4 linked regions of the Rhinolophus ferrumequinum genome follow. The protein of the gene in region 3 binds, or shares a complex with, the protein of the main gene of each other region. Links are inferred from orthologs where the notes say so. Each region holds a gene or a part of one and is shown on either strand. Other genes may lie near its edges. The genes, in order: PPP4R4, PPP4R1, PPP4R3B and PPP4R2.

Evidence for each region.
Region 1: PPP4R3B (region 3) and PPP4R4 share a complex: the UniProt entries of both Homo sapiens proteins name them as parts of the PP4 complex. The link is inferred for Rhinolophus ferrumequinum from reciprocal best matches to the Homo sapiens genes PPP4R3B and PPP4R4.
Region 2: PPP4R3B (region 3) and PPP4R1 share a complex: the UniProt entries of both Homo sapiens proteins name them as parts of the PP4 complex. The link is inferred for Rhinolophus ferrumequinum from reciprocal best matches to the Homo sapiens genes PPP4R3B and PPP4R1.
Region 4: PPP4R3B (region 3) and PPP4R2 share a complex: the UniProt entries of both Homo sapiens proteins name them as parts of the PP4 complex. The link is inferred for Rhinolophus ferrumequinum from reciprocal best matches to the Homo sapiens genes PPP4R3B and PPP4R2.

Annotation. Positions count from the first base shown.
Region 1 is NC_046289.1:8,955,303-8,962,463, forward strand, and holds the start of PPP4R4 (serine/threonine-protein phosphatase 4 regulatory subunit 4), read right to left. Parts: upstream 3,012-7,161; 5' UTR 2,836-3,011; coding exon 2,713-2,835; intron 1,259-2,712; coding exon 1,185-1,258; intron 1-1,184. UniProt on the Homo sapiens protein: Putative regulatory subunit of serine/threonine-protein phosphatase 4.
Region 2 is NC_046302.1:8,401,840-8,409,834, reverse strand, and holds the start of PPP4R1 (serine/threonine-protein phosphatase 4 regulatory subunit 1), read right to left. Parts: upstream 3,007-7,995; 5' UTR 2,465-3,006; coding exon 2,095-2,464; intron 1,914-2,094; exon of another isoform or gene 1,786-1,913; coding exon of another isoform or gene 1,779-1,785; intron 1,571-1,778; coding exon 1,526-1,570; intron 1,481-1,525; exon of another isoform or gene 1,462-1,480; intron 22-1,461; exon of another isoform or gene 1-21. UniProt on the Homo sapiens protein: Regulatory subunit of serine/threonine-protein phosphatase 4. May play a role in regulation of cell division in renal glomeruli. The PPP4C-PPP4R1 PP4 complex may play a role in dephosphorylation and regulation of HDAC3.
Region 3 is NC_046296.1:32,150,122-32,156,980, reverse strand, and holds the start of PPP4R3B (serine/threonine-protein phosphatase 4 regulatory subunit 3B), read right to left. Parts: upstream 3,010-6,859; 5' UTR 2,695-3,009; coding exon 2,553-2,694; intron 1,310-2,552; coding exon 1,254-1,309; intron 1-1,253. Other genes in the region: UDP-N-acetylglucosamine transferase subunit ALG13 homolog, read left to right, coding at 6,118-6,615. UniProt on the Homo sapiens protein: Regulatory subunit of serine/threonine-protein phosphatase 4 (PP4). May regulate the activity of PPP4C at centrosomal microtubule organizing centers.
Region 4 is NC_046300.1:66,761,213-66,768,522, reverse strand, and holds the start of PPP4R2 (serine/threonine-protein phosphatase 4 regulatory subunit 2), read right to left. Parts: upstream 3,003-7,310; 5' UTR 2,788-3,002; coding exon 2,754-2,787; intron 1,765-2,753; coding exon 1,683-1,764; intron 1-1,682. UniProt on the Homo sapiens protein: Regulatory subunit of serine/threonine-protein phosphatase 4 (PP4). May regulate the activity of PPP4C at centrosomal microtubule organizing centers.

The sequences.
Region 1 (7,161 bases), on a different chromosome or scaffold from region 3:
CTTGAAACAGGTACAAGTGATGAAAGTAGCTACCAAATAACACAAAAAGAACATGAACATAAGGTCTAAGATCTAGAAACACTTTAAACTGATAGAATTATCAGAAAGAAAGGTCTAAATTGTAAGCATGCTAAAATTCTTACTAAACGAAGGACGAAACACAAGATGCCACTCACTAAAAGGCTAAAAAATAATGTTTTTAAATGGACATATTGAGATGGAATTTTTTTTTACAGGATTCTTCAATGAATAACATGGGTCTAGAAATGGAGAACAAGAAAGGAGAACAAGAAACTTGTCAGCACCTAAAACTGGCAAAGTAGACCTAAGCTAAAGAAACATGGATGACAAATATCCCAGGAGGTAAATAACACCAGTTTTCAAAATCTGATTCTGAAAAACAAAAGTGAAAACTAATTTGTCAAAAAGGGGGGGAGGGAGGGATGTGCAAATAAAAGAAAATTTTTAAAACATAGGTACATAAAATACTTTAGGAAATTTTGTTTCTTAAGTATTTTCATAGATTAATTAAATTAACATTCACTGCATTAGCTTTTAAGAAGCTAAATCCACAATTTTTAAAACAGTTGAGAGAAATTTTGTAAATATTTGCAATAACCATTTGCCTTAAGCAATTCTGTAGAGCTTGTGAGATGAAACTTAAATGAGAGTAGACACAATTAAATTTTTAAATCTCTCATAAAACATTATAAAGTTCACATAGCAAAAGTAATATGAACAGGCTGTCCTGAGCAATAAGTTGAACTACCACATTCTATTAATATATGGTATATAGCATGTAAGGTTCATACTCTACAATTAACTTAAAATTAATCCCTGGATATTCTTAAATCTCATCTAAACGTATTGGATGTTGTATGAGAACCACCAAACCTGGAGAATAAAAAAAAAAAAAATGAGGTTCAACTCAAACCATTACTTGTTCTGTTCCTCCTCCAAGCAATACTCTGTAAGCAAGGTATCTTATTTGATTTCAGCTCTCAAATTTATAAGTCCATATCTAAATCTTAACTTATAACATAATAAGTGCTATGCATGAAAAAGTACTCTGTTCAAATGGTTAAGTAAATCTGAACATAAGTATAACGTGACATTTCAGAAAGCATTCACTATGCAGCCACAGGGGAAAAGCAGCAATGTCACAGAAAGACTTTCAGAAATACCTGAGCAGATAAACAGCCCTTTCAATATCACTGAGGTCTTCATCAACTGTCAATCTTTCTATTTCTTCTGGTGTCTGTCAAGTGTAAAATACAAATTATGCACACAAATATCCATCAGTCTTGTCCCCCAGTACTCCTCCAGGGACCCTATATGACTACTACTGACTAATGGAAAAGTTTCACAATTAAGCATCATCATTGAAAACTAATCAATGGCCTGGAGACTCTAATGATGACCTCAATCAGAGAGGTCTCTAATATTAGGTTTGGGTGGTGGAGGTTTGGGGTTTGGTTTTTATTTGTTTCTCTCTTGTTTTACTCTCTAGCTTTTAGATTGACCCTTGAGAAGCACATTGCGGCTTCAGAACATTGCTGTAATTAATTTTATATGCATACATAAAATATATCTATACTTTTTATCTCTACCACCCCAAGGCTCTCCAGCATTTTCCACCCCAGGAAATGCTAAAAGGGTAATGGATGAAGACTGCAGCCGAGTGGGAATGAAAAAGACGAAATCTGGAGGGGGGGTGGCGAATAAAATCTGGGGCTGGGAGGAAATCAGAGATTTGAGATATTGCCGCAGGTGGGAGTGAGAGGAGCTAAAAAAGCTATTAAGAGGATGGGGGTGGGCAGGGGGTTCCGTAAACTAGGTTTGCCAGCAGTGAGGGTTGGAGCCTCTGGGAAGCTGGGAGGAAGATGACTCTGCGGGGTCGGGGAGCTAGGGGGGTGGGGGGGAGCTAGAGAAGGTTGACTCCCTCAAGGAGGGTGAGAAGCAGGGTCCCCGCTAGAGTCCTGGAGGGGCTGGGAGGAAAGGAAGGAAAGGACGTGTGGTGACTCAGGATGGGGGCAAAGGATTGACAGCGCTTTGAAGATGGGTGGTAGCAGGATGGCTCTAGTATGGGTGCTGGTTGGGAGGCGAGGGGAGGCCCGGGCTGACTTGGAGACAGGGGGACCCGAGCGTGCTCCGATGCGGGGGAGGAGGGCGGGTGGGATCTGGGGTGTCTCGGGGAAAGGCGGGGGGAGGAGTCGCGGCTGTGTTGACTGAGGAGTGGGGCCAGAACTCGGGCAGTACCAGGGGGCCGCGGAGGGGGGCACCCAAGAGAGGACCGAGGATCAGCCGGCTGCTGCTCCGAAGCGGAGCTCTGCAGGGGCGGGGGGAAGTAGGGCCGCAACTGAGGGGCCACGGCTGTCCGAGAGGGGAGGCGTGGGGGGAACACGCTGGACTGGCCGGAAGGACAGGGTCTCGGCCGGCCGTTCCTGGGGGCCGGACTGGGGAAGGGGACTAGTGAGCCAGGGGCCCGTCCCTCGGGGATGAGGGCCAGGCAGAGAGAACCCGGGCTGCGTTGAAGAAGGGGCCCCGAGAGGGGCCAGTTTCGGGTGACACGGCGACCAAAGGAGGGCTGAGGGGCCGGACTCCGAGAGGGTCCCGGTCCACCTCGGGGACTGGACGGGGAACGGGACGGAAATCGGGGCCCGGGCCGGCCGCCGGGCGCCCTGCAGGCAGTTCCTCCTCCCCGGGGATCACCTTGAGGCTCCGGCGGACCGGCCTCTCGATGATCGTGAGCTCCTGCAGGTCCTCCATGTAGCCGAACAGGCTGTTCTGACTGAAATCCATCGCAGAGGCGGCGGCAGGAGGCGGCGGATGCATGGACCGCCGGGCCCCCTCGCCGCCCTGGCCGGAGCGGCCCCGGGATGCCGGACACGCGCAGCCCCGCGGCCGCCCACCAGCAGGACTTTCTCCCGCTCTCGGCCGCGGGAACCCGGCGGGCGGCGAGCCGGCAGCTGGAGAAGGAGCGCGGCCGCCGAGGGGGCGGGACGGGCAAGACGAGGAGGCGGGGCGAGGCGCGGGGGCGGGCTGCGGGGGCGGGGCCAGGGGCGGGAGCGATGCCACCGCGCCCGCCTCAGCCCCGCCCCCCCGGGCGCCGCGCGCTCGCGGCCTGGACGCAACTGCCGAGCAACGTCGCTGCGGCCCCCGCTGCCCCTCTGACCACGCCCTCTCTGCCCTCTGCCAGCCCCTGACCGAGTGCGCCCCACCCCGCGGCGCGTGCGCAGAGCCTTCCACCTCCCGCAACCGGCGGGGGCGGGCTGGGGGCGTGCTAGGGGCGGGGGCGGGGGGCGGAGAGGCTGAACCAATAAGAGGGGAAGCAAAGGATGGGGAGGTGGGCTGGGGTCTTGTTTAGTCAGCTGGAGTGACGTTCCGGTTATTTGTAGGTCCGCTCACCCCAGCTGGCTAGCTTCGGACACAGAAAGCAGCCTAGCTCAGCTCTAGCTCTGGGGGGAGTGTACCCCAAATAAGCAATTACACCGTGGCGAGTAGCGGGGTGATGGGGAAGGAGTGCATGGGAATGCGGTCCTGGACGGGCTAGCATTTGGGGGAAAGTAGCGGTCAGGAAAGGAGTCCTGGAGGGGAGACAACTTAAACTGAATCTTAAACGATCCAGAAGAGTTTTCCAAGAGAAATGAATCAGAGTAAGGCCATTTCGGATTGAAGCCTGAATGTGTGTGGGTTGTGGGACGTGCACTCAGAGTAGAACTTGGAGTGCGGGGAAGCGAGTGCTTGGCAAGGTGGGTGGAAGACAGGCAGGCCCTGCTCTGGGCAGCCACGTTGAGACGCTTGCTTTTTGCTTCTATTAAGAATAGGAAGCGATGAAAGTGAGACGGGCAGTTTTTGAACCTCAGGGATGAGTTATGTTGACCGTGTTCTTCAGCTCGTAAACGTCAACAAGGCCCCCCCCTTTTTTTTGTTGTCGTTGTTATTTTCCACTCATTCTCTCTCCACACGCGCATTTTCCTATCCCCTCCCCATTTACCCGTTCTGTCTTGTGTTTAAGATATGTACCAGTACAAGTGTATATCCTGGAAAGATACTGTTTTTAATTCATGTATCTATTTTTAATATACATGAATGATATTGTGCTAAGAACTCTGTTTCTTGTTTTTCCCTCAACGTAATGCATTAGAGCTCATTAATTCCTACCATTGATGTTATTGGATTTGTGCGCCTAACACGTTTTACTTATCAATTCCTTAAATAACGGACAGTTAGGTTGCCAGCAGTTCCTCGTTATCACAGGCAATGCTAGGATGGGTATTAGACGTGTCTCTCATGGACCATAAGAAAGAAATGGAATTTCTGGGTCATGGAGTCTCCACTGCCTGGTTTCACTCTGCCACATTGCTTTCCAAAATGGCTTTGCCAGTTTGCACTCCCACCAATGAATGGCACATAAAGATAGGAATATTCCTGTTTTCCCACTCTATACCATAACATTTGGTAATTATCTGATGTCCTAATTTATATCAATCTGATATTGGTAAAGTAATATGTAGTTTTCATTTGTATTTGTTTCATGATTAGTGATGTTAACCATTTTTCCACATATACTTAAGAACCACTGAGATTTTCTCCTGTGAAGTACCCATTGACATCCTTTGCCTATTTTTCTGCTAGATTTCCTATCATTTTTCTGAATGAATTGAAGGAATTCTTGTATGTTCTAAATATTAATCCCTGTCAGTCTTGGATATTGCAAATATCTCCCAATCTTTCAAGCATCCTGTTATCTTGGTCTCTGCTATCCTACTGAGTAGGGGAAATCCTTCATTTTGGTGTAGCCAAATGCATCCGATTTTAGCCTTGCAGAGTATGCTTTGGGGTCTTGTTTAAGGATCTTTTCTACCCACGGTCGCAAAATATTCTTCTCTATTTTCCCCTCGTTAGCTTCATACTTTTACCTATCATAATTAGTTCTTAATTCATCCAAAGTTGGAATACGATATTATTTTCACTACACATTGAGCCGGTTTTCCCAGCAGTATCTACCAAACAATCCATCTTTTCCCCACCAATGTGTGATGGTGTCTGTATAGTATGCCCAGTCTCCATAGACACACGTCTCTGTTTCTGGGTTCTCGTTGCTGTTCCACTGATTTACACCACTGCTGCCCTGATCTTGTTGCTTTGTTATGTCCTAATAACTGGTAGAGTGGATCCTCCCACCCTTTCCTCTTTTTCCTTTTTTCAATATTGCCTTTTGAAGATCAAAGCAAAACAAAACGGTTGCTACCCCAAAGCTGAAATCCAGGTTTTCAGATCTCTATGCCACTAAGGAGGGAAAGCAAAAAGAGGTAGATCTTCAGAGGATCAGGACCGAGAAGGGGCAAAGAGAAGAGGGAGGTGGTTTTCCTCAGCAAATACCTTGCAGCCTCCCTTTTCTGTCATGTTGTGAAATTCTTCTCCTTTTCCTCTCATTTGTAACTGATAATAATACTTGCAAACTTGACCCTGTTTCAGCTAAGAAGTATTAGCTCATATTTGGATTTTGTAAGAGCATCATCTCACACCTGCTAACATTCTTAATGATGATTGAATACACAGACGTACCTTTGATGTTGGCTGTTACAGGGCAGGAGGTTGTTGAAGAGGAATGTTCTGTTTGATGGCTGGAATCTGTAAGTGCTACAGTTACCACCCTGTGGTGGAAATAGCCCACCCACACCCACCCCTGGGCTGCCAGGAAACCTGAGTCCCCGTCCTGGCTCTGCCAATGACACCCAGTGGAACGACTTTTGGAGCCCATTTTCCTTATCTGTACTGCTTTCTTAAGACCTGTCTCAATGTGCCCCAGAAGCAGCCCTGTGAAGTACAGAAGAGATGCATGACTATTCCAGTGTTACAGATAATGGAACTGAGGGTCAGAGAAGTTAGGTGACTTAGGCTTGAGCACCCAGCTAAGGGAAGCTAAATTTATTCACTTCATTCGTTCATTCAACGATAGCATGGGAGTTATGCTCATGGAATTGGGAGCCCAACTGCCTGGTTTTGAATCCTGGCTCTGCCACTTCCTACTGTGGGCAAGGTACTTACCCACTCTGTCCCTTACTTTACTCACCTTAAAAACCAGAATAAAAGTGGTGCTTAGCACAAAGTCTTGTAGTAAGAATTAAATGAGATAATATGCATACAATGCTTAGAGAAATTCCTGGCACAGTGTTTGCTATTATTATTGTTATTGTTGTTGTTGTTGTTATTACCACCAGACCAGTGTCCCTCCATACCCAGGTTCAAGAAAGATTTGATAAATTGCACTGAATCAACTGATTCTTGTAGGAGGTATAGTAATGCTCTCCCAAAGATGTCCACATTCCAATCCCCTGAACCTGTGACTATCTTAACTTATATGGCAAAAGGGACTTGGAAGATGTGACTAATTTAAAAATCTTGAGGTGAGATTATCTGGGATTATCTAGGTAAACCCAATGTAATCCTAAGGGTCCTTGTGAGTACAAAAGAAAGGCAAGAGGACGGGTCGGTGTCAGAGTGATATGATGGAGGAGAAACTTGACTGGCCGTTTGCTGGCTTTGAAGATGGAAAGTTACTGCAGATGGGCAGCCTCTAGAAGCTGGAAAAGGAAAACAAAAACAAAAAACTCAACTCTCCTAGAGCCTCCAAACGGAAATGCAGCCTTCCTGACACATTGCTGTTAGTCTGGTGAAACCCACTTCTAACTTCCAGAACTGGAAGGTAATAAATTTATATTGTTTTAAGCCACTAGATTGATGGCAATTTGTTACAGTAGCAATAGGAAACTAATGCAATTATCAGTGTGAGAAAAAAATATTTAAATTAAATTTCTGCCTCAGCCCATATAAAAAAATCAATTTCAGGTAAATAAAAAAAACCTGAACATGAAAGACAAATCTTTCAAACTTTTGGAAGAAAATACACGAGAACAGTTTTATGATTTCAGAATAGGGAGAGCTGGGGTTTTTTTTCCCCCTTTTTTTTTTATTACTTTCAGGTGCACAAGACAAAGTAATACTTAGACGTTTATCATTTATATCCCTCACACTGTGAGAACCCACCTACCCCCACCTCCCCCCATCCACCATCCCCCTGCCATCGCACACAGCCATTACCTTTCCACTGTCTCTATTCCTAATGCTGTACTCCGCTTCTTGTAAGTACACACA
Region 2 (7,995 bases), on a different chromosome or scaffold from region 3:
TCCTTTAAGAGTGCATGGCACCTAAGTGAAAATAAATGAATATGCAGAAGCTCCAGACATTCCTAAACACATGCTGAATGAATGTATCTTCTATTTACAAAGTCTTGAATCAAAATACAACAATGAGAAGCCCCTGTTTGGAGGTGAAAGCCAGAGCTATCTCTCTAATCCTAACTTTGCAATAAATCAATAGCTGCTTTAAATAACAATTTAAATTTACTCGTAGGCCGCTAAGTGCTCTAAGGAAAAACAGTAAATGAAATGTAAAAGCTGTCCTTTGCTATATGAGTACTGCTCCGTTTAAGAGAGCTTTTTACTTAATAAATAAACCCAAACTTAGCAAAAGGTAAGCTTGCATATGGTTCAATTACTTTAAAAATAATCACTCTTTTTATAGAATCTTTCTAAATAATAAATTCCCTTTACTTCACTCAAAACATCCAGGAATTGAAAAATTAAGCTTAATTTGGGCAAGGGAAACCATATTGGACAATGCTAAGGATTAATCACACAGTATTTAAAAGAGCTATTTCAAACTGTAGCTATTTCTGAATTACTTATACAGATGTTAGTCACAGTAAATCTCAGTATCCGACAGGCTTTCCACTAACTACACCACACATTCTACCACGGCTATCATTTCAACTCAGAATAATTTCCAAATTACCTTCTGTTGTTAAAAAAGCACATAGGAAATGAACATTCCTTTCTAACACTATTCTGGAAACAATATCAACTTAAAATAAAAAACAAAAACAAAAGAATCAACTCTTGTAAAACTTCACTATCTCAAAGGAAAGCTGAAATTTTAATATTTAAGGAGGTATGGATAACTTGTGAACATTTGCATTAAAGAAACATGCTTTCTAAACCTAACGATTCCTGCCAAGGCCACACCTTCTAAGCTTCCCGTAAATCACAAATCAAATGATGTGGAGCAACGTAAAAACTGCTAAGAGCTAAAGTGAAATTACAGGTAAGTCACCTCCTTACAATCAGAAACGGGACCAGCGAACCCAGGACGATAACAGGGACCACCAGGCGTCCCTACAGCTGGCCGCTAACTTGCGAGCAACTCTAAGGAAACACACCTTCCTTCCTTATAGCCTTCTTCCTCAGGAGGCTTGAGGGGAAAGGGGCGGCCCCCGGAAGGCACTCACAGAGGGGAAAACACACCCCAAATTCCCATTTCAAATTTCTGTCTACCACTTTCTTCAAAAACAGAGGGCCAGGCAGCTCCCAGGGCCACATGAGAGTTGGAGGTGATGAGAGGGGTGGGCGATGGGACAGAACCCGAGCTGGAATATTACTCAGGGCATCTCTCTCCGCCAGTGGAACGGGGGCACACCGTTTCCTCCAGAAAGCGCGACTTTCTCTCAAAATCGGGACCCCCGCCGGTCCAGGACCACGCCTCGCCGGGCAGTTCCCCCGCCGGGCCGGGCCCAGGCCGCCGCCACCCACCCTTCCTTCCCGGCCGCTCCCCGCGGGCCGCCGGCGACAGCAACGGCAGGGCGGGCGCACTCACATCCGTCCGCGTCCTCCTGCAGGTCCTCCTGGAGCAGCGAGAGGTCTGCGCCGAGGGGAGAGAAGAAAGGCCCGGTCAGCGCCTCAGGGACACTGCGCGCCGCCCCAGCCGCCCGCCACCCGCCCTCCCGGCCCCGCGGCGGCTCCCCGCGCCGGCGGCTTCGGCCCGGCAGCCACTCGGGGCGGCGGCAGACGGGCGGGCGCGGGGAGGCGCCGCCGCCGCCGCGCCACCCAGAGAACAGGGGGCCACGTACCCGCCATCTTGTGGTCGCCCCCTCCTCCTCGGTCTCCCGGGTATCCGGGGCTACATGGAGCGGCGCGAGCCGGGGAGCCGGTGGACGCGCGCGGGAGGGGCGGCGAGGAGGAGGGACGGGCCGGCGGGGACGCGCGCGCGGGGCGGGCCGAGGGCCCGGGACTGGGGCGCGGGCGGAGCGGCTCCCGGACGCCGGGGGCGGGCGGGCCCCGGGCCTCGCCCCGCCTTGCCCGGCCGCACCGTGCGGCTCCCGGGTGGCGGGTGATCCCTCCTCCCGCCTCCCTCACTCCAGGCCCGGCCCGGCGGCGCGCGCTCACAGGCTCGGCCGGAGGCACCCTCAAGCCGAGCGCTTCGGTCGAAGGCGCGCAAGCTGTGCCGCCGGCCCGGGACCCTGCGGTGTGTGCCCGGGACCGGGCGGGGCCTCCGCGGCCCGGCCCGCTTTATTGGGTCACCAGCCTCGCCCACAACCTCGCTGGCCGCAACCTTTCGCCGACGCGCCCTTCGCGGTCCCGCGCCCCCTCCCCAGGGCTGCACGTACGTCGGCGGCGATCTGGGGCCAAGCAGAGGCCGCGAGTCCCACCCTTCGGGTGGAGGAAGCGCCGCCTCCCAGCGCGCCGGGGACACTTGCGAAGTGGCTGGTAACAAAGCCGAGGGCCCGGTTTCCTGGTCGTGGAGTGAGAAAGTCATCCTTGTTCACCCGGCTTTCCCACCCTGCACGTTTAATTCTTAGACACAGAGTATTACCTCCATGTCCTGCTAATCCTGAGCTGACAAAGCGGAGATCCTCCAGCAAGAGTGTTGGCAGGCCTCAGTTCAGATCTCGATTCTGCCATTTACTTAGTAGGCATGTGACCCATTTGTAAAATGAAGGATGATAACAGTCTCTTGGGATTATTGGGATTAATGAAGAATGTCAGCAACCTAGCACAGTACTTGATATCTAGGAGGTGCTCGACGAAGGGTGCCTATGATTAGCTTTCTTTTCTTTGAATAGTTTAAATAATTTTGGCAGCACTTGCACTCGACTGAAATCTGTATTATTCTCCTTTTTTTACATGTGTTAAGTGAGTAGCTCAAGCTCTCAAGAAAGAGCAAAGTGGGGGCTAAACCTAGGTTTTCTGATTCCATTTCACACTCCTATCTCCATGACTAATCTTATCTCCAATTCTATCCAAGGCCTCCAAAATGGTAATCTCTTGAAGTGGAGAACAAAACAAGGACTTGTTTAATTGATGCCAGTTTGGGGATCTGGACTCTTGGGGAGGAGAGGGAATTATAAATAGTTAATGAGCTTTCGTCTGCTGTGTGTATCAGATCCTCTGAAATTCATGTCTGTGTGATAAAATGGGCTCTGCATAGCTATTCCAAAAACTTCCCTTTCAGATATTACAACATAGAACAAATTGTATAGTATCTACTAAATATCTGAGAGTAATAAAAATTGGAATACAATCTGTGACTCCAGTTATGTGTCTAATTTTCTCAAATACAGAGTAAGTAAAACTGAAGGCTAAATTGTCGTAATTCTCTCCTGACCTTGCAGAATGCCCTTATGTGAATTCACTGTGACACTAACTCTCAAAATGACAGGGCATTAGAAATTACAAACTAGCAACAGAAACCAACCCCAGCTGACTCAATCTGTAAGGGTTTTGCCCTGCTGTGGTACTTGGCTTGTTGACACCTACCACTTTAGTAATTCTGGGTAGAAGGAGGAAGGAAGATGATTTGGCTGTTTACACTAACTGGTGATCTCACAACACAAAATTTACAGAGTGTCAACTATTCTTCAGCCACTGTACATGCAAAGACAAAACTATCTGGACGATCTACCCAGTATAATTCTCCGTGATCATAAAATAGAGGTTACCTACCAAATGATAGCCTAGGTAGGATATGGAGTGACTAACTGCCCTTGGTCGCTAGGCCTCAATAAATTTGATCTCAGTATTCTCTGGGAAGACAGCAAAGAAGGAGGGTCTGTGTAACTTTGTCCATATTGCTCAAGACCTATGAATTTGGTTATCTTACCTGCATTACACATTATAGCATGTCCCTTTAGGGAGTATGGTGTTTAGACATTTCAGTGAGAATATCTTCATTCACAGTTCAGCACAAGTACGTGTTTTTTACATTTGATTTTCTCTCATTACTCCTTTCTCAAAGATAAGATCAACGGTTTTAAAACCAGTATTTATAAAATGCACTCTGTTCCCTCCTTAAAAAAAAATGATATCTAAAAATATAGCAATCATTATTCTATGGACCCTTACCCCATTTTCACTTACAATGTAGCCTGTGGATACCAGAAGCTGTGTATTATCTAGTCAGAACACAACACAAAGTCTTAATCCTTAACTTGCTCTGCCATTCAAATCTGTGAAATAGAGGAAATGTCACAAGTTACCTTTTAAAAAAGTGTTATCCCACTATGTAGCTACTAAGGCCAGAATGTTTCAGAATAAGTCCTCTTCCAAATGATAGTGAAAACTTTCATTAGCAGCAAGGAACCTTGGAAATTGATGATTTTGCTCTTCAAACAAAAACATAATAAACATAATGGGGAAAGTATTACAAATAAACAAAAAAAACCGCCTGGCGTTGCTTGATACTATTCCTTTTTAAAAAAATTTTTATTATATATATGTATATATATATTTATTTATTTTATATATATATATATATTTTTTTTAAGTTTTACTGGGTAACTGTGTTTTTTCCAGGACCCATGAGCTCCAAGTCAAGGAGTTGTTTCAATCTAGTTGTGGAGGGCACAGCTCACAGTGACCCATAGGTGACTGAACCGCCAACCTTGTTGTTAAGAGCACCGTGCTCTAACTGAGCTAACCCGCCACCCCTTGGACTCTTTACTTTTTTTCTTCAGCTTGATCGTTCCTAAAGCTGAACGTACATAAAAGGCAGATTATTAATTGTTGTTTTGAATAATACAAAAATTAATCAATCTGAAAATGGAGAAATACTTATATGGTAAAAATACTTTTTAAACAAATTTTTTTAACCTTTATTTTCATTCATCTCGGTGTTTTGTTTTCTTTTTTTGATCCAGATTTATGAAACATCACTCACAGACTGACATTCCCAAGTAAAAAGAACAACTATTTTCTTTTTTTTTTTTTGATTGATTGCTTTAGGTAATCTCTTACCTAAAGCTTCCCATACATACTTTGGTAAATGGTATACAGGTAAATATTTGTGTGAAATTATTCTTATCTTTTCTTCTATGCTTCTTGTCTCCTTTTAAAGCTCCATGTCAAGATGACATTCCAAAAAGTGAAATCTTAGCCTTTCTTATAGCTTTCATAATTTAGTTTTGTTTTTCGAAAACACTGGATCTCTTTTTATTCACACCAGCTACAGATACATTTTCTCACACAATCCTAAAAAAAAGGAAGTAAAAGAGGGCCGGACTAATGGCTCAGGCGGTTAGAGTTCTATGCTCCTAACTCCAAAGGCTGCCGGTTGGATTCCCACATGGGCCAGTGGGATCTCAACCACAAGGTTGCCAGTTCGATTCCTCGACTCCCGCAAGGGATGGTGGGCTGCGCCCCCTGCAACTAACAACAGGCAACTGGACCTGGAGTTGAGCTGCGCCCTGCACAACTAAGACTGAAAGGACAACTTGAAGCTGAATGGCACCCTCCACAACTAAGATTGAAGGGACAACAGCTTGACTTGGGAAAAAAAGAAAAAGAAAAAGAGAGAGAAGAAAGGAAGGAAAGAAAGTGAAAGAAAAAGAAAGAAAGAAAGAAAGAAAGAAAGAAAGAAAGAAAGAAAGAAAGAAAGAAAGAAAGAAAAGAAAGAGAAAGGAGAGAGGGAGGAAAGAAGGAAGGAAGAAAAGGGATGGAAGGAAGGAAGGAAGGAAGGAAAAAAAGTAGCTACAGAACTGAGCCCCATCCAGAGGTGTCTATTCAGGCTGCGCTTCCCAATTTACAGAACTTGAAGGTGGCCCATAGAATGAAGTAGAACATAAGCTCTGTCCCACGGTTAGCCATAGCTGCAAGTTTCTTAGCATAGGCTTGTTCTGACCAGAATAGTGCATCCTGTTACTAGAATCACCACTGTAAATCGAATATAAAGGAAAATAAATCCTTTGTTTCTTATCCACCTTGTTAAGTACTCCAGTGCTTTTCACTGTGCTCCAGATTAGCAGAGCCAAAAGGATTCTCCACTGAGCAATTTTGCAGTTATCCCAGCAGAGGTGAGGCATCCTATAAAATGTGTTCCACATATTTTAATTTCATTAGAAAAACTAAGTTGTGAAAATAGCATTAAATTAATAAAAATGGCAGTGTTGATTTTCATTAAATATCTTTCTCTTAAAATACAGAAAACATTAATTGAAATCACATTCAAAGAAATGTGGAAGAGCCTATCCCAACTTTGTCCAGCAGAGTGAGTGCTGAAGAAATGCTTATTATTCTGAATCTGAATGGATGAGTCAAATTGAACCAGGAAAAAATCATAAGTAAACCACACATTAAAACCCAGAAAAGCTCGGTGATTAAACTGTCTTGATTCTAAGATTCTTTCACACTAATGGCTGCCCTATGGTTCTATAACTCAGAAGAAATTGTTTCCATCCTAATTTCATCTTTCTGTGTATCTCTTTGTAACAAAATTGTTGTGTTCTTGGTCCTTGAGCCTTCATTCGGTAAGAAAAATATTAGCACAATGACACAATACAATTCACATACAAGATAACTAATACATTTTTTAACTTTTTATATTGAAATAATTGAAGATTCACAGGAAGTTAAAAAAAAAAAAATACGGGGAGTATCTGTGTACACTTCTTCACCTAGTTTCTCCCAATAGGTAATATGGTACATTTTGAAACATTTCGAGACCTATGTACCAGGCATTAAGCTATTAGGTTGGTGCAAATGTAATTGCAGTTTCCGACTGTGAATTTTAAATCATTATAACTAGGCTCAAACACATCTTTATTAATCAAAATAGTAACCATTACAATCAACACATTTTGCCAACGAGAAATAAGTTTGTTTATTACTGCAGCACAAAAATCCATGCTTCAGGATTCGACAAACTCTTGGAAAGCATTTTCTGTATCCTGCTGGTTGTGGAAGTGTTTTCCCTGCAAAAAGTTGTCGATATGCTTGAAGGTGTGGTAATTCATTGGCGAAAGGTCAGGTGAATATGGCAAATGAGGCAAAACTTCGTAGCCCAATTCATTCAACTTTTGAAGCGTTGTTTGTGTAACCTGTGGTTGGGAGTTGCCATGGAGAAAAATCGGGCCCTTTCTGTTGACCAATGTTGGCTGCAGGTGTTGCAGTTTTTGGTGCATCTGATCGATTTGCTGAGCATTCTTCTCAGATGTAATGGTTTCGCTGGGATTCAGAAAACTGTAGTGGATCAGAGAGGCAGCAGACCACCAAACAGTGACCATGACCTTTTTTTGGTACAAGTATGGTTTGGGGAAGTACTTTGGAGCTTCTTGGTCCAATCACTGAGCTGGTCATCGCTGATTGTCATATAAAATCCACTTTTTGTTGCACATCACAATCCGATCAAGAAATGGTTCGTTGTTGTTGCATAGAATAAGAGAAGGCAACACTTTAAAGTGACGATTTTTTTGATTTTCGGTCAGCTGATTAGACATCCACATATTGAGCTTTTTCACCTTTCCAGTTAGCTTCGAATGCCAAACAATCGTAGCATGGTCGACGTTGAGTTCTTCGGCAACTTCTTGTGTATGAGGATCAGCTTCAATGATTGCTCTCAGTGGGTCGTTGTCAATTTCCGATGGCCTGCCACCACGCTCCTCATCTTCAAGACTCTCCTCTCCTTTGCAAAATTCTTTAACCACCACTGCACTGTATGTTCGTTAGCAATTCCTGGGCCAAATGCATTGTCTCTGCTGCTTTACGATCCATTTTGAGCTCGAATAAGAAAATCACTCGAATTTGCTTTTTGCCTACCATCATTTCCATAGTCTAAAATAAATATAAAATAAACCACAAGTAATAAGTCATTAGAAAAAAAACATAAACTGAAAAATGCGCATTAAAATGATGTATAACAGGGGTGGCCAGTTAGCTCAGTTGGTTAGAGTGTGGTGCTGATATCACTAAGGTTACTGGTTCAATCCCCACATGGGCCACTGTGAGCTGTGCCCTCCTAAAAAAAAAAAAAAAAAAAAAAAAAAAGATGTATAACATAACCACATTTATTTGAGA
Region 3 (6,859 bases):
AAGAAAGTAGGCATTGATGACATAAATATAATCTTAAAATAATTTATCTTTTCCTTCAAAAATCTCTGCCATATATTCACTTTACATATTGCGCGCGCGTGCGGGCACATACACACACACACACACACACACAAAACCCTGGAAATTATTCAAGTGTCTAATAGGTGGGTATCATACATCAGAATACTATACAGTGTTTTTTTTAAAAATCCTATTAGATCTACATTGTTAACATGAACATATCTTCAAAATAACGAATGAAAAATGAAAGTTGCAGAATACATGTAAGAGTACGAGATCAACTGTGTAAAGTTTAAAAACACACACAAGACTACATATTATTCATGGATACATACATATGTAGAAAGGTATAAAAGCATGTACAGAAATAATACACATCAACTTCAGAATAGTAGTTACCTATAGGTAAGATAGAGAATGGATAGAATGAGATGGATACAAAGGGGGCTTTAACTCTATCCACAACGTTCAACATTACAAAAATATCTGAAACAAATATGGTTATGTTAACATTGTTAAATCTGGCTGTAGTACACAGACACTCATTATATTATTCTCTGTATTTTCAATTTGAACCTCTCATATTAAAAATGAAAACATTCACAGAATAAAGAAAAGGCTGAATCACTGCTGCTATTTCCAGATTAAATAATTTGGTATGCTAAAACACAACACAGGTTTTCTTTTCCCAAACAAAACAACAAATATTAACAGAAAACATTACATGATCGACAATGTACACTTTTGTAAAGTATCCATTATTATATTAAAATATACAATAAAGAATAGGATTTAAATGTTTCTACTTCAAAACTCTACCTTTGCTTGAGTCAAAGGATCTAATTTCACACCACAAACAGCCTTTCCTTGCTTTAAAGAGTACCCCTTTGAATTTTCTTGTATGCCATTTCCTTTAAATGAGAATAAAAAGCTTAGTGTACAGGGTATAACAGAGACCTGGCTAACTGGTTAAGTTAAATAAGACTAAAGAATACATTGTATTCTAATATAAAGCAACAGTGGCTCAATTCAAAGATAATAAATTATTGCCAATACAAAAACTTCTACTTTTCAGTTTGCAACTTTTAACCTGCAAGGGAAATACATTTGGTTTGTAATTTTGTGTACCAAACATGTTCATTCTTGTCAGGAAAGTTTTCCCATCTCTGTCAGATTAACACTTCCTTGATCACAGATGAAGTCTTTCAAATTAAACATAAACAACTACTTGCCTGTTGTTTCTGATATGCAGTGTTTGGATTTATCTTTGATTCCAAGAGTAGTGATCCTGAAAGATAAAAAATAATATTTATAAGTTTCAATTTATAAGACCCTGAATAAAAGAAAACAATCAGAGTCCACATTTAAAAAATAAAAGTGTTCTCTTCACTCAGCTAGACATCTGAAGTAATCAAATGTATTCCAATTCACATTTTTCTCTCCAGATCTGGGCTTTGTATTTAATTTAGAACATATCCTATCCCCACAAACCCTTAAAGGAAAAAAATCCATCTAAGATCAACATTCAGACCAAGAATATAAGCAGACTAGATGATCATTAAAGTTTTATTGAAATGAAAATTTTAAGGTCTAAATGACCACTTGAAGCCAAAGTCTTTTTAACAAAGTTATTTTATTGCATTTCCAGTTCAACAAATAAAACAAATTACAAAGGATCACAAAGAGAAATTACAGCACTGCATTTATCCTTTTCTCCTTAAGAACAAAAGGAAGGACACCTCATGTAGAAATAAATGTTCATAACTATTTACAATAAAAGAGAAAGTGCAAGGGTACAAAATACGTCAAGAATAAATCTAAGGTTATTTTTCTATTAGCTGCACCTAATTGTTCAAATCGAGGCGTTCAGATTACGAGAAAGGTGTTTTAATTAAGTTTACATGCTGCTTTGGTGTCCTAACTTGTTTCGGTTCTAAAGTATCCACAGCACCCCTACAAAGGCAGCCTGGAGGGATCTCAAACTGAAGATTTATGCGCTTGTGCGTGCATGTATTGTGGCAACAGTCTGCAATAACCCCGGGCTTTAAAAGGTGCCTGTTGGTTTTCCTCAACACCTGTCGACTGTGGCAACTGGGGCTCGTAGGTAAAATCGGTTCAGAAAAAAAAGACACTCAGAAAGAAAAGTTTCACTAAACCTTCTGTACCAGACATATAAGGGGTAAAAGGAAAAATAAGAAGGGGGAGGGTCGGTTCCCTAGGACGCCTGGAGATCACTTGTCTCTCATTACTTTTCTCCCTTCTCTCGCTCTCCTCTCTTCAAAAGAGAAAAGACTGGAGAGGAAGGGGTCAAATCCTTAACAGGGGTAGTAGGCGGGGGAACGGAGAATCCGCATCTGACTGAGGGTAAATTCCGGAGAAAGTAGTTTGTTTTCACCGTACAGAGGTGCGGGAACAAATCAATGCGTTGTCCCAAGAGGTGGTAGTAACAGTACCTTGCCTCGGGCCTAAACCCCACGGCTGTGCCCAAACTGGAGGCACTGTCCCCTATCCTACCGTTCCAATAACCTTACCGTCGGACTCTGCCCGAACCAGCAGCGACATCCCCTTGAGTTCCTCCACATAAGTGGAAGAGACGTGCCCGGTGCCTCGGTCGTCCCATTGCCGGTCTTCATTCAGGGTATAGACCTTCACTCGCCGCCGCGTATCCGACATCGTGGCTGTTGTCTCCACCGCTCCAGCCGCCGCCTCCTCGTTCACCTCGTCCGCACCCTTCACTCTTGAGAGACGGCGGCAGCGGCGGCTCCGGAGAGGCCCGAGTTCACCATGACTCCCAAGGTTCAGCCGCAGGAAGGGTCAACAAGAGTCACCGAGACCTGTCCGCGCGGAGTCCCAGTTACCTCTCACTTCACCCCCACACACACCCACCCTCCCCTCCCTTTGCCCCCCAGAGCTCGCTAGCCCTCCCGCCGCCGCCGCCGCCGCCGCCGCCGCGTTAACTACAGCACATCCGCCATCTTGTAACCCGATTCTCTCTGCCTTTCTCTTCCTCCTCCCGCAGGCTCGCACGGGCTGTCCTAGCAGGGGCTACGGCGGCCGAGGAGCCCAACGCGCGGCACCTCCGCTGCTGCCTGCGCTTCCCGGGCCAGCAGTGCTCGGCGTTCTCGAGGCGGGGTGGGAGGGCCTAACTGCAACTTCCTCTCTAGGCCCCGCCTACTGGCGCGAGATTTCGGCTGTATGTGTGTGGTTCTCGCGAGCTCCCGGTGCTCCCCACCCCGCCCCTTTTGCCGCGAGACCTGTCTGAGTGGAGAGCGAGAGTTTAGTTGTGGATTCTCCTCGGTGCTGTTGCTGACTGCACCTGATGTGCGGCTAGTCGTGGGACCCAGCTCTGAGGAAAAGCAAAGCAAACCCGGAAGGTACGCACCCTTGGACCGGGTAACCCTGGGCAAAAAAAGGGATTCGCATTCCTATTGGAAGCTCATTCTGTTAGCCTGTGGGAGCAAAATAGTTTAAACCTCTTTCTGTGAAGACAGAGGAACTTGGAGTATTTTAGGGTAACCCGAAATCCACTAAAACTCGTTGTGGAGTCTGTTACATTTTAAGTGTCCCCTCAGGAAGTGTTCTGTGGATCTCCAGGTAATTGTAACGTCGTACAAAAAAGTGTATTGACAATACCCCTTTCCCGCCAAAGCGTTTCACTGTTATTAGATTTTTTGGTAGTTGGCCATTGAAAAACGTACTTCCCACTTCTAGAAAATACAGTGTGCCCTTCCTGTGTTTTTGTAACGTCGGAAAATAAGTCTTTAGATAAATTTAGGGAACTTGCGGGAGTTACCTTTCTAACACATCTAGGAGCATTGTTTTGATAATTTTGAGTTTTCTCTTGTCATTTCTTGCGTTATCTATAGGGAGGTCTTCTGTGCTGAATAAACAAAGGAGGAATTCTCTCGGCATTCACGTTGTCAAACAACACCGTGTCAAACATTGCGCGGTGGCTACAAATCATGCACTGGGCAGTCGTTTATTTTAATCCGGGTTCTTAAAGCGTCTCAGTTTGTTCAGCCGCCAGTTCTTTACAACCCATTAGCGTGAAAGGTGAAAACCGGGCCAGAAGTACACGTTGATTCTGCAGGGCATCTTGGGAATTGTAGTCATTACTTAATTTGTGGTCGTGTCTAAACGTGCTTTTGTTTTGATCAGCTCTTCTGTGTGGACACCATTCAGCGGTACACTAAAACGTGAGACAATGCCGTACTCAGAGCAGGTGCCTGATAAAAAAAAATAAATTATAATTTCAAAATCTGGATACATAGGATTTTTTTTTTTTAATTTAAAGAGGACCTCAGAAAATGTATTTGAATCAAGTAGTTTTACATAACAATTGGCTCATTAGTTGCTATGATTGCTGTGGAAAAAATGCATTTTGAGCCCGGAGAAAATAACGTTTCTGTCTCGGGTCAAAGAAAACTTGATACAGATAACTTTGAGCTTGATGTAAGAGGATCCCTGAGTGGGAGTTTGGCTTGCAAAGGTGTTCAAGGCTGAAGGGACAGAGTGAATGAACAAAATGATAATGTGCTAGTGGCCTAAAAGAACATATATATGTTATATATATGTTAAAGGAGTGAGAATTATAAAGACGTCACTTAAACATTATACATGTTAAGAGGTTAATAGCCTACAAGTAGATCTAACTGGACAAAATTGTCAAATAATGAGTCATTTTCCGAATTTATTCAGTCATTCAACAAGTGTTTGTTGAGCATATACTACTCCTATGTGCTAGAAACTGTTCTATACAATGCATAAAATAGAAAAAGTCCATCTTCTCATGGAGTTTACATTATAGCATAGGGAAATAATAAAACAAATATATGCCAGGTACTGATAAACATTATGACCAAAAATAGAGTAGCAAAAGGTTAGAGAATGAATTAGGGAAGGGTAATGGTGTTTATCAAGGAAGTCCTCTGAGGCAACCAATCAGCCAAACATTTCCCCAGGGCAGGAGAGCCAGGAAGCTGGAAAAGCAAGTGCAAAGGCCTAGCATGCTGCAGCATGCTGAAGGAGGGAGGATAGCAAGGAAGTGGGTGAAAAGGGGGGAAAATGGTGAGGAATAAGGTTGGGAGTGGGATAGGGTGTTTTGAAGGGTCTTGGATTTTACTTTGGATGAGTTGCAAATCCATTGGAAAGTTTTGAATTGAGGAGTGAAATGATCTGACTAGTATTTCAAAGCATCCCTCCCATTTTCCCTTCAGAATCTCTTTCCTGGTTTAGCCCCTGAGATGTGGTGACTCAGAGAAATAAGGGAGCAAAGTTAAATGGGACTCATGTCTGCCCCTTGCTAGGTTCTCAGGCACATGTTCTTTTTTTTTGTTTTCTTCCACTAGGTCACAGGGATTCACTCTCATCTCTTCTGCAGCAGTCCCATCTAACATTTGTAGAAATTGACATTTACAAAGCTCAGGACAAGCATACAAATGGAAGACCATATGCCATAAGTCTAAATATTTGTAAGTTTTAAATCAAGCTAATCATGTTAAAAAATATATATTTTATTCTCCAACCTTTGGTATACTTTAACAAACATATTTTCATAATGACCTGGAAGCCAGATTCATATCTGGAATTCTTGACCTAGTCAGAACTCATCTCCCTCTGGCCCCCAGGGCCCTTAGTCTGACTTCCTTCTCTTCTCACACCTCAGCACTGTCCTGCACTTTGACAGCCCTTATTTGCACGCATAGGATACCCCAACCTCTGTCCAAGCCCTGTCTACACTCCCTGAATATAGTCACGCCTTGGTTACTCTTTAGGACAGAACTTGGAAAGAGCACTGTGTAGACCTTGGAAGCAGGCTTGGCTTTTGGGGCGAGGAATTCCAGGATGCCCAGACCATGGTCTAAAAAGGGGAGAGTGGGTTCCAGGTGAACACATCCCATGGTTTCATGAACTTATCACCTCCTGGAGAGAAGCACGGCTAGCAGGCCAGAGCGGGTCCCTCTAAAACGGCCTGTGCTTACTTGGGTCTGAGAACAGTACTGTACTGCAGCAATGTGTTTTTCCCAGAAAAGTTTTTTTTCTTCAGGCAGTCATCAAAATTCCACTCCAAGGATTCAGGACTTCAGAACCTGCGGGATGAAGTGCGTGTTTGTTACTGTGGGGACCACCAGCTTTGACGACCTCATTGCGTGTGTGTCAGCACACGACAGTCTGCAAATCTTCAAGAGCCTTGGTTACAACCGACTCGTTCTACAAATAGGTAGAGGAAAGGTGGTGCCTGAACCATTCAGTACTGAGTCATTTACTCTGGATGTTTACAGGTATAAGGATTCATTGAAAGAAGACCTTGAGAAAGCAGATCTTGTTATTAGTCACGCAGGTGCAGGAAGCTGTTTGGAGACTCTGGAAAAAAGAAAACCACTTGTAGTGGTTGTAAATGAAAAGTTGATGAACAATCATCAGCTGGAATTGGCAAAGCAGCTACACAAAGATGGACATCTCTTCTACTGTACCTGCAGCACACTACCTGGGCTGTTACAGTCAGTGGACTTATCAACAGTGAAATATTTTCCTCCTGGCCACCCAGAAAAATTTTCTGCATTTTTGGATAAAGTTGTTGGATTACAAAAATAAACACTAAACTCTCAACAGTTGAAAAACAGCCCCTCTACCCCCCGCTTCCCCCAGATCTAACCTATGGAATGTGGTTAAATCAGATTAAATATGTATGTTTGCAGAATAATATATATTAATAAAATTCCTACATCTATAAGAATCTTAGAAAATTTTATGGTGTGAATATTTGCATTTGGGTCCAAATCATAATTATAATTTAGTAAATTTATTAGATTTTGTCCGCCAATTTTCATATTTTAGT
Region 4 (7,310 bases), on a different chromosome or scaffold from region 3:
AACCTTCAACTATTTATGCATTTACAGTCAATGTATTTTACCAAAAAGGGAAGAAAATTTGTACAGATCTGGCAAGATGAATAAGAGGTTTTAAGTACTTATTTCCAAATAGTTTTATATAATCTTGTGTATCAAAACTCTGAAAGTAAAATGCTTTTCCTCCTGATAATGTAGAGAGTGGTAAGTTCGGACCAACCAGCAATTTGAAAGAAACAGTGGCAATCTAATTTAGGGATTAATTTACTTTTGAAAATTGACGTCTAGTCATTCTTAAGCTTATCTATATAAATACCAGTTAGTTATTTTGCATCAATTTTTTGAAATCAAGTGTTCTAAGAGACAAAAAATGACTTTTTCCCCCAAAGGGTTCCATTTTTTAAATGCAATAAATAGAAATAAGATTGAATAGTCATATTCCTAAGTTGACTGGTAATTTTAATAAAGGACTAAGGAGATTCAGTTTGTCTACATGACCATTAAAGCAAAGAAGGTTTTTTTCTTTCTAAAATTAGGCTAGTTATTAGAAGGCCTCATTACAACCATAAGCAAACAAACATTTGCTAATAAAGCCAAAGAAAGCATACATCGTTTGCTGAAGCTTACATTCTTACATTAGGCCTCAAAAAGAAATTTTAAAATACGCAAGAAGTAGGGGAGCCCAGAGAAAGCCTACTTATTAACACTGCACCCAAAGAAAACTTTCCCTTTCCTGTTCCCCCCACTCCCTACCCAAAGACAAGACTACAAGTCACCAAATCTGCATTATTCTCTACAAATTAACTTAGCCAGTGTGCAAACAACTCCTGCTACTCAAACTAACCACAAAACAATGCAATGAAGTGTTTCTTTGAAACAATCCTAACTTTATAATTTAAGTTCCAGATTCATGACATTTGGAAATAAACCTAATAAAATGCTGAGCATATGCAACAAGTTAGCTATCCTAGAAAGTGTACAGGATACTCAAAACTATAGCAACCTGGAATTTGTCACATAATCTCTGAGTTCACAAGAGAATAAATAGAAGTGACACCTACATACATAAATATGACAAGAAAAGGTTGGATATAGGACAATGTGAGAAAATATCACCAACAAAAGAATCTAAAACAGAATCAAAGCCACAAATCCCTGGAAATAAGCCTGTTATGGCCAAAAAGGGGTCATAATGGAATAGTCATTCCTCCTTTTTTTGGCTCTTTCAGACGAGTAAATTCTAAAGGTACCCAAGCATAAATATAAAAAAAGTTAAATTTTTTTTTTAAATTCATCACAGAGTATGCATATAGAGGGTGTCAAAAACAATGTATACACATTTTAAGAAAGGAAAAAACTGTATATTTATAATACTCAATACAGACCAACAACAAAAGATGAATACAAGTCACATTTGACTTCAGCAATTATAAGAGGTGCTCAAAGTGGTTACCATCAGCATCCAAACACTTCTGATTACAGCAAACTACTGCTTGAGGAACGTTGACCAAAGTGTCTACTCGTATGCATTTTTTTGGCACCCGGGGAACATGCACTTAATAAGTGCTTTAAATGCCTGGCACTTCACTTGCTTGTATGTTTTACACAGATGAATTATTCAAATCTTCTGAAATACACGTTTTTCCCTTTTTCAAGCAATTATGAATGATACATAGGTCTACAACAAATACACGTTTTCAACTCACATTGTTTCTCCAGTCTTGGCTACATGACAAAGAAACTGATCCAGGATCGGACAAACTTCCTTTTTCCCCCTCTTTTCAAAATCTGGATACGGGAAGAAAAAAAGTTATCAATATCACTCATAAGTCCATCAACTATTTCCAGTCTCCTCTAAAAGGCAAACTTTCCTCCCAGTCCTTCCTCATAGGAGAATAAGGAAAAAAAAATTAGCCTCTCAACCAATTATCCACCTCAACTCGCCTAGAGTTACTTTCATATGTCACCCTCTGCACAGGGAACAAATATCTCCCTAAAGAGGGCACTCAGCTGCACCAACCATCCTAACGCAGTATATAAAGTGTAGCCCAGGGGAACACCCGATCAGCTTCATCTGAAAATCCAGTTAAAATTAAAATCCCAGGCCTCATTCCCCACAAATTGTTTAACTATGTTAAATTCACAAATCTGTTTTAAGAAACACTAGTCATCTCATGTAACCATGTCCAAGATTCTGCATTTCAAAGCACAATTCTCAAAAGGCTAAATAAATCACGCTATTCTAAGTTTGAAAACCACTGCTCTCAAGCCTGTTGCTTGGAAGGCGAGCATTAAGAACAGTGAAATCGACCACCTTAGAATAGGGCGCGTGGAATGACTCCAGAAGCCCTGAAAAAGGCTTACTGAGACACAAATTTAAAGTTGCTTCGCCACCCTTTCCCCCCTACCCAAACCTTACTTTTTACTCTAACCCGACGCCAGTCGTGCGGAGGCCTGACGGAGAAGAGAGCCTGCCTAGAAGGGGGCTGCGGGCCCACGACCAGCCCCCGGAGGGTGTGACGGGCTGGGGTTGTGAGAGCTTCCCCGGTTCCCCTCCCCCAGCCTAGACGCCGGCGGCGGACACAAAGCCCAGAGCAGGCGGGAGGGACCTGCCCACAGGGCTCCCGCCCCTAGGGAGGCGGGAGGGGGATGGGAACCGGGTGAGCGCACCTTCCCACCTACGCCCGGCCCCGGCCCTCGGAGCCACCCGAACTGAAGGGAGAGGAGAGAAAGTCGGGAAGGGTGAGGAGGAAGGGAGAGGGTGCAGCTACCCCCACCTTTCAGCGCCTCCTGCAGCCTCTCGATGTCCATGGCTTCCCGGCGTCCCTCGCAGCCTCCGCCTCCCTCTGCGGGTCTCTGGAGACCGGAACGCCTCCCCCCACCCCCCGACGCCCACCCCCTCCCTCGCACACACTCCCGCACGCAGGCGACGGGAGGGGGGCACCGAAGGGAGCCGGGGGAAGCGAGTGAGAGAGCGAGACCGAGAGAATGAACACCTCCCCGAGCCGCTACCACCAGCCCTCCAACATGGCGCCCGGCACGTCACCGCGCGCACGCTGCCCGCCGCCGTCCTCGTGCCCGCCGCGCGCTCCGAGCCAGAGCCCGAGAACGCGTGCGCGACGGAAGCGTGCCGCCTGGGAGGTCGGGAGCCGGAGCAGGCGGCCCCGGGCCAGCCGCTGGGTCTCTCTGGTGGTGGCCCTGATGTGCCTGCACCGTTCTGAAGGAGGAATGGTCAAACCAGGGGTTGGAGACACACCCATTGGCTTTGAGCGCCTGCCTCTTGCTAGACGTTTGATTTTCATTAGTTTACTGAACCTCACTTTCCCTTATGTGTAATGAGGGCACTAGTATCGACTACTCTATACTAATACTGTGAGAATTAAGCAAGAGTGTGTCCGAGTAGGCAGAAAACTAACACTCAGAATTACTAATAATTGCAACAAGAATCCCTCCCGGCCTGAACCTAACACTGACCCACCCTTGAGGAGAGGCAAGGTATACAGAAAAGTAATTAATTAAAAGCTTAGGGGTTGTAACCAGCTGGTTTCAAAACCCAATAAACTATTCCTGGTGTGACCTCGGACTAGTTACGTAAACTCACAGAGCGGACCCGCAGTTTCCTCATCTGAAAATGGTGATTTGTAAAACAGCCATGAGGCTGTAGCAAAATGGTGAATATGAAGCGTTTAGCACGGGGCCTGAACTTGTAAGCTATCAGTTAACCTGGCTGCTGTTTTTATCATTGTGATTTTGATTATATAAGTGCCCAGGAAGTTATGGAGGGGACCTCAGATGTCCAATCCAGCCCTGACATTTTACAAACAGGGTAACTGAGATATAGAGAGCTAGTCTGCCAAATCAGCACCAAAACCCAGAACATCTTGCTCCCAGTAAGTGGATATTTTTCTGATACTGAATTATTACACCTTTTCACCTGTCAACTAACAACTATTGGCACCAATTCAATGCCAACAGATAAATCCCCAATTCCGGGGTGCAATGAAGAAGGAAACTGTTCAGTGCAAACAGCTCAACTGTAATACAGCAAGGCTGTGAGAAAAGCAGGGCTGCAAGGTGACCCTTGGGCAAGGCCCTTCCCAGGCTAGACAGCTCTGATTTGCTCTGGTCAACTCTGCTGTGGTTCATGGAGAACTAAATCCTCACCCTTCAATAGAAAGATTAAATGTGTTCCCTGAGGGGGCGGAGTGGGGGGGCGGGCCCGCTGGCTTATACAAAGAGAAGTCCCCGCCCCTGGTCCCTGATTGGTCCATCCTTATGCAAATAAGGACTCCAAATTGTCATGGTTCATTGGCCCCAAAAGAACTTTCCTGATTGATCAGAATGGAGTTGCTCTGATTGGTCAGTGAAGATGCTAGTGAGGATGTAGCTGCACAGTTCCTATTGGACAGGGAAAGTCTTAGTCCTATTGGTTGAAATACAATTCCAAAACCTCTTTTTTATAAGGTTTGGCTCAGACAGCAGAAACTCAGTACAGGCAGGCAGTTCAGTGCAAGTTTCTCCCAAGCATGGTTTGCAGTGGTTTATGTGAGAGGTCCCTGTTTAGAAATGGTTGCTAGGCTTTGCTTTTAAATTTGAGTCCAGTTTGCCACAGGAGCCTTTCTTGGTAGACATCTTAAGTCTCAGAATCAACACTTCTCAAAGCCTGGCACAAAGCAATGAAAGGAAAGAAGGGGGCGGGGAGGAGGGAGAAAAGGCTATTTCTTGACTTGTGTTAAAAGGTGCAAATTTGGGAACAGGCATTACAACTGTTGACTCTCCCAAAAGATAGTGGTTCTGACCCTGACTCTATATGGCAGATGTGGCAAAAGCCGCCCCCCTCCACTCCAAAAAAAAAAAAAAGAAAATCCCTTAATATTGCCATCAGAGAACCAGTCACTGTGTCTGTAGACCCTTTCATTGTCCAGACATCTAGTTCAATTACAAATAACCTTGCGAAGGGGAGGAGGGAAGATTTTAATCGTACTTGACCAGCACTTACCATGCACTGGATTTAGTTTATCATGGTCCTTTTGGGTATGAAGGGGCCTACTCTCCATGTAGCAAAGCTTAGCCTCTATGTCTCTCCACTATGTTGTACTCTATTCCAGCAGGTCTCTTCCTATGAGATCTGTGTTGGACAACAGCCACTACCAGGTTTCCCCAAAAATAAGACCTAGCCGGACAATCAGCTCTAATGCGTCTTTTGGAGCAAAAATTAATATAAAACCAGGTATTATATTATATTATATATAATACATAATAATATATTATTTTACTATGTTATAGTAAAATAAGACAGGTCTTAATTTTTGCTCCAAAGGTCGCATTAGAGCTGATTGTCTGGCTAGGTCTTAAATTCAGTCTGATGTAAGCTGAGAGTGCACGGGGAGAAGAGGCAAGAAATGAGACTGTAGAATTATTTCCTTTGGTTAATTTCTTCCTTCTTCCTTGGAATTTTTCTCTAGCCAGTGTGAATCCTAGTGTCGGCAATTGCTAAAGCCTCCTACTGGTACTAATTCCCTTGGAGGAAAAGAGAATACAAATATGACAGCCAGCCTCCAGGATTGCCCCCAATGATCTCCACCTCATTCATGCACTAGTGTAGTCTCCTCCCACTCTCAGTCAGAGCTCATCTGTATGACCAGTAAAAGTACAGCAGAAGGGATGGTGTTTGTCTTCTGAGGTAGGTGATAAAAGGCACTGTAACTTCTGTCTTAGGCTCTTGGATTACTCATGCTAGAGGAAGCCAGGCACCATGTCATGAGAACATTAGAGCAGCCCTCTGGAAAGGCCCAAATGGAGAAGGACTGAGGCCTTTGATGTAGGTCCTTCAGCCCCAGGAAGTCCTTCAGATGACTGCAGCTGGCATCTGGACCACAATCTTACGAGGGATCCCAAACCAGAACCACCCATGTAAGCCTCTCCTCAATTTTTGATCCACAGGAACTATGAAAGATGACAAATGTTTGTAACTGTTCTAAGCTTCTAAATTCTAAGATAATTACACAGCAATGGGTAACTAATGCAACAAATGAGAAAATAGTAATAGCTAACATTTATTAAGTATTTTCTATATGTCTAGCATTCTTCTAAGCAGTTTACAAAAATATATTTAATCCTTGCAAAAATCCTATGAGAGAGGTGATATTATTATCTTTACTTAACAGAAAAGAAAACTGAGGTATAAATAGGTGAGCTAACTTACCCAAGGTCACACACAACTACACAGGCAAGTGACTGATCCATGATTCAAACAGAGACTGACTTCAAAGCTCCCAAACAGTTTCTTGTCTTCAAGAAGGTTGCAAACTATCAGAAAAGGTAAGATGTGCACATAGACTCCAATGTAAAGTAGAAGGCAAGTACCTGAATCCCGTGGTCAGAGGCCTGTGATCTCTTCCAGGCAGGGATGACAGTTGCTCTTTAGAAGGGCCTCACTTAATGACTGGGAAAGATTTGCACCTACAGAGAAGAGTCCTCCAGGCAGAGGGAATGGTATTAACCAGGCAAACAGTCCATGAGGGCCTCCTACCATGTTTCCCCAAAAATAAGACCTAGCCGGACAGTCAGCTCTAATGCGTCTTTTGGAGCAAAAATTAATATAAGACCCGGTCTTATATTACTATAATATAAGACCGGGTATAATATAATATAATATAATGTAATGTAATATAATATAATATAATATAATGTAATATAATATAATATAATATAATGTAATATAATATAATATAATATAATACTGGGTCTTATTTCATTATAAGACCGGGCGTAATATCATATCATATCATATCATATCATATCATCTCATCTCATCTCATCTCATCTCATATCATATCATACCGGGTCTTATTTTAATTTTTGCTCCAAAAGATGCATTAGAGCTGATTGTCCAGCTAGGTCATATTTTTGGGAAAACATGGTGGGTACTGGGGAGATGATGTGCATTCAATCTCTTCTCCACTACTGATCTCATGGTCTAATGGGAAAGATGAACTTTAAACAAACATGAACATGCAGGAAGAGTAGCCCACTGCTCGTGGTGTATGCAGAAAAAGACTGTACTTGAGAAAACTTGGAGTAGAAGGTGGAAGATAGAAACAGAAAGAGAAGTGGGAGAAGGAAAACAGCTGGACTGTGTCACAGAAAATGTGCAAGGATCTATTCATAATTCCAGGGAGAATTACTGGAGTTTGGCCATCCTTCTGACATATAGGAAAGGAGAAAAAGAGGGAATTGAGGGAAAGTCTAGAAAAACCCACACCCTAGTGGGGGCTGGAGGACAGTGAATAGGCAGCCTAAAATACCACTATAGAGAGCCTTGGAGGCCCTTC